3 linked regions of the Caenorhabditis elegans genome follow. The protein of the gene in region 1 interacts with the protein of each later gene in a pairwise test. Each region holds a gene or a part of one and is shown on either strand. Other genes may lie near its edges. The genes, in order: nhr-91, ceh-54 and ztf-26.

What was found.
Region 2: the proteins of nhr-91 (region 1) and ceh-54 interact in a two-hybrid assay, tested with the Caenorhabditis elegans proteins (one large-scale study listed by BioGRID).
Region 3: the proteins of nhr-91 (region 1) and ztf-26 interact in a two-hybrid assay, tested with the Caenorhabditis elegans proteins (one large-scale study listed by BioGRID).

What each region holds. Positions count from the first base shown.
Region 1 is NC_003284.9:15,307,704-15,311,461, reverse strand, and holds the start of nhr-91 (Nuclear hormone receptor family member nhr-91), read right to left. Parts: upstream 2,088-3,758; 5' UTR 2,084-2,087; coding exon 1,923-2,083; intron 1,866-1,922; coding exon 1,760-1,865; intron 1,709-1,759; coding exon 1,620-1,708; intron 1,063-1,619; exon of another isoform or gene 769-1,062; intron 94-768; exon of another isoform or gene 1-93. UniProt on the Caenorhabditis elegans protein: Orphan nuclear receptor.
Region 2 is NC_003284.9:6,192,642-6,196,399, forward strand, and holds the start of ceh-54 (Homeobox domain-containing protein), read right to left. Parts: upstream 1,601-3,758; coding exon 1,586-1,600; intron 1-1,585.
Region 3 is NC_003279.8:8,859,651-8,863,408, forward strand, and holds the start of ztf-26 (C2H2-type domain-containing protein), read right to left. Parts: upstream 1,629-3,758; 5' UTR 1,623-1,628; coding exon 1,466-1,622; intron 1,289-1,465; exon of another isoform or gene 1,186-1,288; coding exon 1,111-1,185; intron 870-1,110; coding exon 714-869; intron 1-713.

The sequences.
Region 1 (3,758 bases):
GGCAGCGAGTAAGATGGGGAGGAGCGGCCCCGAAAAGTAGAGGTGACGAGAAGAGGTACGCAAATGGCACCAGTTGAACCGACCTTGTCCGACGCGATTCCCTAACAAAACCTTGTCGACCTCCGACATTTTTTTCCGGAGAGACAATATGTCCGATTGATAATGATATAGACTAATATGTATTACTTGAACTTTCTCTAACTGAGCTGTCGATTACTGAAACCTACTTTGATCGTTATCCGAGTGTCCTCTGTACTTTGAGTACGGTGTGGTACACTGATTGTTATCTTAGGAAGGCCGTTCTGAACTTTCGGGGGAACTTTCGCAGCTCTCCCGTTTTTGTGAAATAGCTTGATTGTTATCGTAAGTGCGGGTCAATTGCGTTTTTTTTTATTCAGATAATTATTTCGACGGACATCAACTAAAAATCACAGTTCTTTACAACAGTACAGTCAAATAGAAATATTTACAGCAAGCTGAGATGAAATATTTACAATGAGCGCCTATAATTTTGGGAACGTTTATGCTGTAAATGGAAAAATTGTGAGTTAAAAAAATATTTTTTTAAGGGTTTATGATTTAGGGTTTATTCAGATAGTATCACTTTTATAGTAACACATTGAAAAAAAAAGAAACAAGTTCTTATGGTGCGTGTGACCTAGAGAAAACCGTCTAAACCGATTCAAAGTGCACTTCCACTACCGACTTCACCTCCTTCCAAACCGAGGGTCAACCGGGAGGCGAGAAGGGCGCTGTAGTGAGAAACGAATGGTCGAGGTGCGTGACACATTTGGCCGGCCGTCGCCCTTCGCAACATTTCACTGACTGGGTGTTCGGCGGTGCGTCGTGTCATGCTGAAGGCCTTGACCATCATCGCGGATTCTGAAGGCCGCAAAATCTGACTGCCCCCCCCCCCCTCCAGCACCCGAGGCGGACGTGTGTCTACGTTGACGACGACGGCGGCGACGGCGTCAGCATCCCCTCCCCAGCATCGGATGAAAATGTAGCGCACTGGTGCTGACAACTGGACTTTCACTGGTGTGGTGCCCCCCACCACCACTTTCGCTTTCCCGATCCGATCACTAATTCCGTTAATAGCTCTCCCCCTTCTTCTCTCCAGACAGTTTTTATGTTGATCCTGGAAGAGGGCGAGCGGAACAGATTTCTGACCACCCGGGAAAAGAAAAATAACAATATGAAAACTTTCGATAGAAAACAAGATATAAGCAAAGGGAAGAAAGTGAAGTGAAACTAAATTAAATTATGAAATCGGCATGGATATTTATATTAGAGTAATTTTCAAAGCATCACTATTTCAAAGCATCAAACAGTAAAAACACTTGCCTAATTAATTAATTACAGAGATACAGATTGAAAGATAATTCCAGATGTATATTTTGAAACAAAAAATTTGGTTAATTATGTAGTGCTGAAATAGTATTATATGGCATCCTATTAACATCAATGTCTTAATTGGAAGTACCACAATTCAAAACAGAGGTCAGAAAACAGCAGAAACTGCGTAAATTTCAAAATACATGAAAAAAGTTTTTTGTTGTTGCTCGAAGTATGAACTTCCCCCCCCCCCCTCCGTATTTTTAATATCTAAATGCACATACCCTTCACAGGTGGCAGCACCGTAATGTAGACCGGTTGACTTGTCACCACATACCGAGCACAGCTTGCTGCTGGATTTTGAAACGGCATTCTGTAATTGTTCTACTACATAATTTCAATAATTTTCATTCAGTTCGCATACCGAAGTACTGTCTGTTGTTGGAGTTCCAAGAATAGAGAATAGAACTTTGTTTGCTGCAGAAGTGGAGTCGTCGGTTTCAGAGTTTGGGCTTTCGGTTTGACTGAAGCTGAAAATTTAAAATTTTGAAACTAAGCTCTCCACATCTTCAGGAAAATGCAATTACCTTGGAGTCATCGAGTCTCTCATATCCAATTTCATTGGCGGCACCAGTGTGGATGCCAAATGTGTCAGGTAGAACTGCAACAAGTTGGTCTGTGCCGCGAGAGCCAAGTTGTCATGGTCAAAAACAGGTGGCGTCTCAGATGTCGAGTCCGCAACGTCCATCGCACTGAAAGAGGCTCATTAATCAGAGGTCATTAATGTATGCAGATGGAGCAGGCAACATACGGTAGGGACAGTATAATGGGGTATGTAAATGGGAGGGGGAGCAAAGAAGAACAATTGGTTTAGACTTGTAGATGTCGTGAAAATGCGATAATATTTTTGTTACCCAGTTTTTGAGCGATTGTATAGTAATCAGAACGGAAAAGAAGATAGGAAATGAGCTCCCTCGTGTGAATAAATGTATTATCAAGACCGAACAAAGTCAGAATAATTGTATAGTTGTTTTGAAGCAAAAAAAAAGTAAAATTGTGTGTTCGAAAGAGGTACAAAATCTTCCTCACTTCTGAGTCAGAATCGCAGTGTACAAAAAGCGCGGATGGTAGGGCCGGTCGAGTTTATCGAAGTGAGATCAGAGTGTGCAAAAGAGCATTTCAAATGACGGGACGGTGGAAGGGGGGGGGGGGGGGTTCGTCTACCAATTTTCAAGGTCACGCATTTGGCGGCGGAGCTCGTTGAGAGCCAAATGGCAGCATTTGGACGTCACCGCCTGGTACTGAGAGCCGTTGCCGGGTGGGTTGAGAAGGTACAAAACTGTAGTGGTAGGTTTATGAGAATAAAAATAACAATAGAGTTTTTAACATTAAAAAGTTACTTGTTTGACAAATCAGTTTTGCTACAATTAAAAAGAATCAATTATTGTTCCTAAACATTCCATGAACAGAAAAACAGATTTTACCAATTTAACTTGCAAGATACTTTACGGTTATTTGCAAGAATTTGCTCAATTTGAAAATAGAGAAAAAGCTTATCAAACTTATGTTCCTATAGTATTGAAACTAATCATATTATTAATATCTTGAAACCAAACCTATATATCTGCTGTATACAAATAGTTGTTACAAAGGAATATACAGTGAGGTTTAAAAAAAAATTATTCCAAAGTGATACAGTTTTTCTATTGTCCGAAATAGTACATACCGGTTTGGTTTGAGCCTAAAAAACGTGGTAATCATCATTTTGACAGTTATTGAGTTAGTTTCTAGAAAAATAGCGATTCTCAACGATGGCGGAAATGCAACAGATATAGAAAATAAATGAAACATGTTAATCATAAAAGTGATAAGCTATCGACCAGACTTTTTCAACTAGTTTGCTAGTTTCAAAACTTGTAACACATTGTTGCTACATCGCTGATCCAGTAACCAGGATACTAATCGAACAAAAATGAAAATGCGAGAAAGAAAAACGAAACGCAAGGCGGTTGAGGAGGAGAGGAGGATAATTCAAGAAAGTACAAAGTGAGAAAGTTAAACTGTAGGTCGGTAGGTCACACACACATTCACACAACAATCGAGAGAGAGACGATGGTAAGCCGGAATGGATGAAGGATGGAGGGAGGGGGGGGGGGGGGGACAGCGCGCGGATATTGGCGCAAAAGCAAAATTGGGTGAAAGATGCATGGAGGGCGAACGAAATTTTGTGGGTCAGACCTTGAAATTCGTGAAAACCGCGTACATTCAATCGGGCCTATTGCCGGTCAAACGAGAGTGACAGTAGGTCTCTCCTCCTATTGCCCCTGCCTTCCACCGGCGCCTCTTCTTGTCTCCATTTCCTTTCACTGGACGATCTCATAAGGTTATTTTCAAAGTGCACATAAAATGGGGAAAGAGGAGGA
Region 2 (3,758 bases), 9.1 Mb from region 1:
CTTTTTCCACTCGGTAGGCGTATGCGCACATACCGCGCACTTTCCGAGCGGTTTAATACATTTGTTTTTAATCCGCTCGGAATGTGCGCGGAATCTGCTCAGAATGTGCGCGGAATGTGCGCATAATGCAGGGCAGTTAAAAAATGAGGAACACCAAAACGCAATGTGCGCGGAATGTGCTCATGATGCAGAGTGGTGGTGTTTCACTGCCTTTCGCTTGCAGTGTATTTTGATTGCCAGTGTCCTTGCTGCGAATTGAACCTGTGATGTTTTCCCTGAAAGTCTGAAGTCTTACCTGTTGAGACATAACGCATGCGATGTTAATAGCAGTTAACGCGCCATAAATATAAGCAAATGAGAAAGTCAATGGAGAAACATAGAACTAACGATAAAGCATTTTTGGCACAGTAATTCAATAATAAAGGATTTCTCATTGGCTTTTGAACTTGTTTTTCAATCACATATTTATGGAAAAATGTGAATTAAGTATTTTTCCGTTTTTAAGCGTTAATGTGATTATTTTACTAGAGAGAAATCATGTCAGCGCATTTTTATACTTTCATGGTAATTTAGAAGTCTCTAATTAAGTGAACTTTTTGTTCTAGAATTCTTTCCAGAGATTCACAGATAATTCAGTTTTACAACAGCTACATGACAATTGATTTTTCAATCAGGTCAAAAAGAGACTTTGTGTGATTGTAAAACTTCACAACCTCTTCAATTTGACTCCTGGGAAAACATTTGAACGCTTTCTTCTCCAGTATACATTTTCCCCCTAACTATAATAGTAAGCACATATCTAGATATATAGTTTTTAATTTGAATCACAATTTTGACTTTTAAAATGTGGGACATTATGCAGTTGTAAATCAATAACGATAGACGGCGTATATTTACAACCTGTTAACCCAAATATAATATTTCTGAAAACATATTTCAACTCTACAGTGACGTTGTTGGTATTTTACAACTATTTCTGTCGAGAATGTGCATCATTTCAAAACGAACTATGAATGTTTCACAACGTTATTGATGAATTTTTGGTTGGAAACAATACGCGGATTTGTTTTTGAATGAGAACTATTAAAACCATTTCTCTTGGCTCTAATTTTCAAATATCAGAAATACTATTAAATATAGACTCGGACATAAAATTTAAACAATGCTATAATAATTTAGAAAGCAGAAATTGAGCATTAGTTGTAGATTATCTAAGTCAATGTGCGCAGAATCGGCGCGGAAGTTGCGCGGAATATGCGCAAAAGACTAATGGTGGGGAAAATGGCCACATCGAAGGCAATGTGCACTGAATGTGCGCGGAAAGTGCGCTGAATGTGCTCAGAATGCATGATTTCTGGATGAAAAAACACACCAAAACCAATGTGCCCAGAATCTGCGCGGAAAGTGCTCAAACGGCTAGCGGTGGAGAAAATGGCCACGCCAAGGGCAATGTGCGCTGAATGTGCGCGGAAAGTGCGCGGAATGTGCGCATACGCCTACCGAGCATTATAGAAATGAGTTTTCATAATTTCCCCGCAGACTATACTTGACCTTTAAAATTATTGATAAAGGTGTGAGAACGTACCTTAAGTTGCTCCATTTGTAAAATTTTGATTTTCAAATATTAATAGAAGAACAAACTGAAAATTATTAGATTTTTAGCAAATAGATAAAATTACAAATTTCATTAAAAAGTTAATCCTCCAAAAAAACCAAAAAGATCGCCTTAAGTCTATTACGTACAAATTTACATACAATAAAATGTCAACTAAAAGTCAGAAAAATATAGGCTTATAGTGGGATTACGGGATCAATAATGTTATTTCAAGGTGTAATGGCGTCAACGGCGTATCCTGTGTTATGTAATCTCCCTATCACCAATAGTATAGATAATGCGCTTATTCAAAGTGAGCGGAAACTTTCTGTTTCCGGAACAGCAAAAACACACGAAAAGAGTGAGCATCGGAAGTAGTTGTCGAGATATTATGAAATTCTAATCTGTTTTAATAAAGAGATGCTGATATATATTGTACAAAATCAAATGATTATTCAAAAACATTTTCATTTAAAAACAAAATTTTCAAAAAACACTGGAAATCTTATACTTTTAAAAAATGGCAAAAATTCATCAGTATATAATACCAATCTGGTTTGCTCAAGAATCTGGCTGAAAATTATACTGAAACCAGAAGATATCATGCAAATCTCAGAGCATATAGAGAAACAAAAAGGGGTAATTTGTACTAATAGTGGCACGAGGCAAGTAGTTTCTAACCTGAATTCACTCTGTGACAGGTGTGATCAGAACTAGGACGTGTTCGTAATAATGTAGTCAAAAAATTCGAAATATTATATTTTCATACTAAAGCTATAGTTTGACGACAACGACTTTCGGATGTTCATTGTCTCGCGCTTACTGCAGATTAAATTACAAAGGTTATAAGATCTGTGAAAAAAGAGGAAAGAGAACACGGATGTTTCCATTTTAGTCTTCATAATGGTTTTCCCGCAGTAAATGTCAATCCGATGAACCTTGACGATTAGCATAATCTCCACGCTGATGAGCAGAGTAATGATTTATGAAAGTGGATGAATATGCTTATTAGATTTCAAGTTGAGCATATACGAGCAAGAGCTTGATGGAATTAGGCTATTGCGGGAAAACAGGAAATAGTCCTTTAGTTTCTGGTGAAACCAAGCGCCCATTAGAAAATTCTATGAACAGAAGTGAAGCCATTGATAATGTGGCCTATTAAAAGTATTCCCTGAAATTAATTATTTACCGCCAGAAAAACTAAAATACTTATTTATGTTGCACAACAAAATAAGTATTGCGTTGTCTTATTCAAAATAACTCTGACAAATGAGAAATAAAAAATTGATACTAAAATAGTTTTTTTTTCAAAATCTGAAAATCAAAATGTATAACATTTAAAATCAGATTTTAAAAGCACAGAATAAGCGTTCAATTAAGAATATTTTTAACGAAATGGTAGAGTTGCAAGCTTTTTTATTGCACTACATAATTCAAACAGACTTTGAGATATTAAATTTCACATTATAGATTTTAACATAATTTTTAGAGTTATTTCAAGATTAATTTTCAGTGGAAAAAATTGAAGACGCGTGAAAATTTTTTTGAATTTTTGGTTTCAGAAAAATAAAAAAGTGGTAAGGATTGCTAAAATCATCTATTTTGTCATACTCTGCCGGAAATTGATTTTTATTTAATCACATTCCTTTTCCGGTTTGAAATATGAAAATTATTGGCTGAAAATGTATCAAGTTCATCAAGAAGGCAAATAACCAAAAGTATGCAAGACAGTGGTGTAATCGAAGTATTTTTTTCCGAAATCGAAGAAAAGCTGTTTCAATTTTTTTTTAACTCAAAATTCTAAAAATTATTTGGAGTTTTTTTTGCAAAGCTATTTATATTTGAAAACATAAAAACGTTATTAAATGCCGAAAAGAACGTCATTCACAAACCAAAAAAAATCAGTTACGTTTAAAATTAATATTTTTCATGTTGTTTATAAAATAATGTTTCAGTTTTGACAATTGGGAATGTACTTATTTGAAATATTGTGTTTTAAAAAAATAACATGTATTAAACAAATAAATAATTGGCCTCCAGTTTTGGGTGTTTCAGAGCAGCGTAAACAACGATACGTATAGATAGTTTGTAGTTTGTTAAGTTCTGGTTATCAACGTCATTTATTTGAATATAATCCAATTTAAAAGTTGTAGTTTTCATCTGA
Region 3 (3,758 bases), on another chromosome or scaffold:
TCCCGGCAGTACAATAGTTTGCAGAATACTCGCAATTTACTATCATCTAGAGGGTTTCCCTCTCAACCATGAGCTGAGCCATTAAGATCCAAAGTGTTGTAAACCTATTCTTCTCCCCCTATCACTTTTTCCAACATCCCCCACTCTCTCTCTCTCTCTCTCTCTTTCACAAAACTTCCCCCTTGCACCATCAATCATTTTCCTAGATCCTAGAATATCAAGAATAAGATGCCAGTGTTTCTGATTTGCATATGTAAGAAGTTTCACACGGCTTGGTACTGTAGCAGCCGAAAAAGTTTGAAGAATTTTTCGTATAAGAAAACACTTCCAGACAAAATTGTAAGTAATGCAATTATGGCAAAGGTGGAACTGTATTTATAAACATTGTAGATTCATATTCAAGCTGTTACCGGGTTCCAGAAAAATGTCGAATCATCGATTTTTTTAAATTATGACAATTATTAAAATTTTTCCGATCTTCAACATTTTTGGCGTTACATGAATTCAGTACTGACACAACGTTGTAAATTTACATATTTAGGCATGGGTATATTTACCCGTACAAGCACCAATTGGGTAGAATACCAATAAAAGGAAAGTTGTTGAAATTAATTAATATTATTATCGCCAAATTTTCAAAATTGTGTTTCTAATTTCATATTCCCTTCTTGATTCTTTTAACTGAATTTTCACATATATTCCAAATCACTCACATTTTCCAGTTTCATTAGCTCTTCGAACTTCCGCAAGACTCGCATCGATGTCTTTGATAAAATCACGAACTGGATAATCCTTATGATGATTTTTGATATGTACTCTTGCATTATCCCGTCGGGAATGAATTTTCAGACAATACGGACAGACACATGCTGAAAATTTACAAATGTTTTTTAAGCGCTTTACTGAACAAAATTGAAGCTGATTTTGAGCTGATTTTTGAAGAGTTTCAGAAACAACCTGCAAATAAGCTTTAACGAGAATCAAACTTTTCAAATTCCAAATTAAAATATTCGTTGGCTCCCCGAAGAATTTGCAGCACTTTTTTCAGTTAAGAAAACGATCAAACATTCTTACACATTTAACATGAAACAACTGCCGAGTTTTTTTTACCTCTAGCGAGATCTTCACTTGACAGTACCCAATTGATAATCTCTGATCTTGATCGACTTATGAAATCTTCTCTCGCTGAAATTATGACGACATTATATTCTTTTCAATTCTTGAAAATTTCGTATTGTGATATATTCTTCCCAAGAGGAATCCTCCAATGCACTATAGTTATTTCATCCTAAAAAAGCTTCAAAATCATCTTCCAAATGAAAAGTTCATATGCACTATTCTTTTTTGAAACAGCAAAGTCATGAGAAAATTTATTAGTCAGAGCCTAATTTCCGGTTACTTACGTGTTTAAATTGGACCAACAAGGAATTAGTTTCTGATTGTGAAAGAAAAATAATCAACTAACATCTTTTAAAAATCTTCTTTGAATCTTTTTGAATCTCTTCGCCAGGGGTATTTCTTAAATAAGGTCTTCCAAATCCTGAACTGATTCTAGCAATAAATTCCGGTGTCAATGGCCCAATGCCGTCATCATCAATGTGTGGAAAACCGTCAGAGGACATCTGAAAGTTTATAAAACATCCTAAACTTTGAACATTATTATTGTCGAGACGGAAAAATGTGTTCAAAATATTGTTTAAGTTTGAGAAACTTATAGTTAAGTTGAACCAACCAAATCCATAAATCGTAAAAATCGTAGAAAGTTTGTGCCCGCGTCTAAAGATTGGACTGTGCAATGTCCCCTCAGATTTTCTACATAGCGCTATCTAAATTTGATAAAATCGTGTGAAAATTGAGAATAAAGTTTTTTGAGTATGCTGATTATGAATATACAATTGTTTTCCGTGTCACAGTTTTTCGATCTTTGATGTATCAAAAATTAAGGGGATCTTGGACGTGCACACTGTACTTGAAATGTTGAAGGTATACGGTAGCATAGATCCTATCCTACTCTTTCAGAGAGTAAACGTCAAAGCCTTTGGTAAACAGAAAATCGAAAAAGTAACTGAATTATAAATCTTCTCTAATCAAAATTTCTTCAAATTTAGTTTTCCTAAACACCAAAAAACGGCTGTGCGGGGCAACCAGGGCAACCAAATAGGAAAAAATCAGGGGCGCAGAGAGAAGAGATGTGAATAAGGGAAAAAGAGGACTAAACCAAGTGGCAGCTATGACAGCCGAGTGTCTCTCTCTATTTCTCTCCATATCTTTTCCTACTTTTCACTAGAACGTCGCAAGACTCCGCCCATTTTGCCTGAACCCCTTGCACTTATTATCTAGGCATTGAGATATGTTTCTGATAAACGTTGTTGAATGGAAAATGAAAAGTACATAATGACTGAAATAATAAAGAAACTCTTGGCGAACTGATTTGAATTTCAATGTATTTCCCTGAAATGTTGAAGTGGCTTACTAGGGAACCGTCACAAGGTGCCTATTGGAGTTGCATATGAGACCTATGTCATTCGATAGCCCATGTCTTAAAACGGTTACTCGTAAATTTTTAGCTGCGAAACTCTAGAAACAAGCTCACGACGTGCTCTCAACGATCCTAAAATAGTACTATAGCAAGGCGAATTTTTCATTTTTCGTTCAAATAAAATAAAAAAAAGTTTCTTCAAAAACAATTAAATACCAATAAAATGTTGGTATATAATGTTTTTTCACAATTTTGAAGGTGAAACAATCATTTTTGCTGAAATTGGAACGAATTGTTGCTTGCACATGCTCTTACAGAGCACAACTTTGACAGCTCCAATCTTGTTGCACAAGGAAGATTTCAAAAAGCTATCAACTGCAAATCTATGAAGCACATTAAGAACAACATTTTGTTAGTTAAAAATTTGTTTTTATCTAAAAGAACTGGGGAACTAGAGCAGTTTTCGTTAAGTGCGCTTTCCCACTAAATTTTGATTGATTCCCACTCTGAAATTCTGAGAACACAAAATTTGCAACAAAATGGCTACGGGGATTTTCAAAAAAATTAGTTTGAAGCCAGATATTAATTTTCAAAGTTTGGAAAATGTACTAATTTTGCATATAAATGGTCAATTCCATTTAATCTCAAAATGTGCTCTAAAAGGTATGACTCAAAATTCCCTTTTTTGTCTTGAACTCGGCGGTTATTGAAGTTTTTAGAATACCATTTTCATGGCTAAAAAGCGAATGTGGTAAAAAAAATCACCGTCTAATTTTGGGTATAAAGTTAATTATCTAGCGTTTTCAACTCGATTTAGGTATTTTGAATTCTGTGGACGAAGAGATTTGGTGAAACGTTTTAAAACAAATTTTGAGTCTAATAAAGCAATAAAAAATTTGACTACAACACTCCTGTAATCCCAAATTATGCCCCAAAAGGTTAATGGTTTTTGTGTCGTTGTAAATTTGGGTAAGAGTTTGGTAAAAGTTGGGTCAAAGTTTGGTTACTTTTTGGCGCAACCGAATTCTACGTTCGATTGTTATATAGATTATTTAGGCGTAAATCCAAAAACTAAAATGATTTTTGTTTTCATTTCATGTCACCTTTTTTACCGATTTTTCTCATTGAGACCCGAAGAACTCGGGGGATGTCCAATTGGGGGGATTACCAACTCGGGGGATTGGCCCCGCCCACAGAACCGTGGCTTGCAATACGCCCATTTCTGCAACTGCCGCACGGTTTTAAAACTGTATTTTTCTCATTAGAGCGAGAAACAACA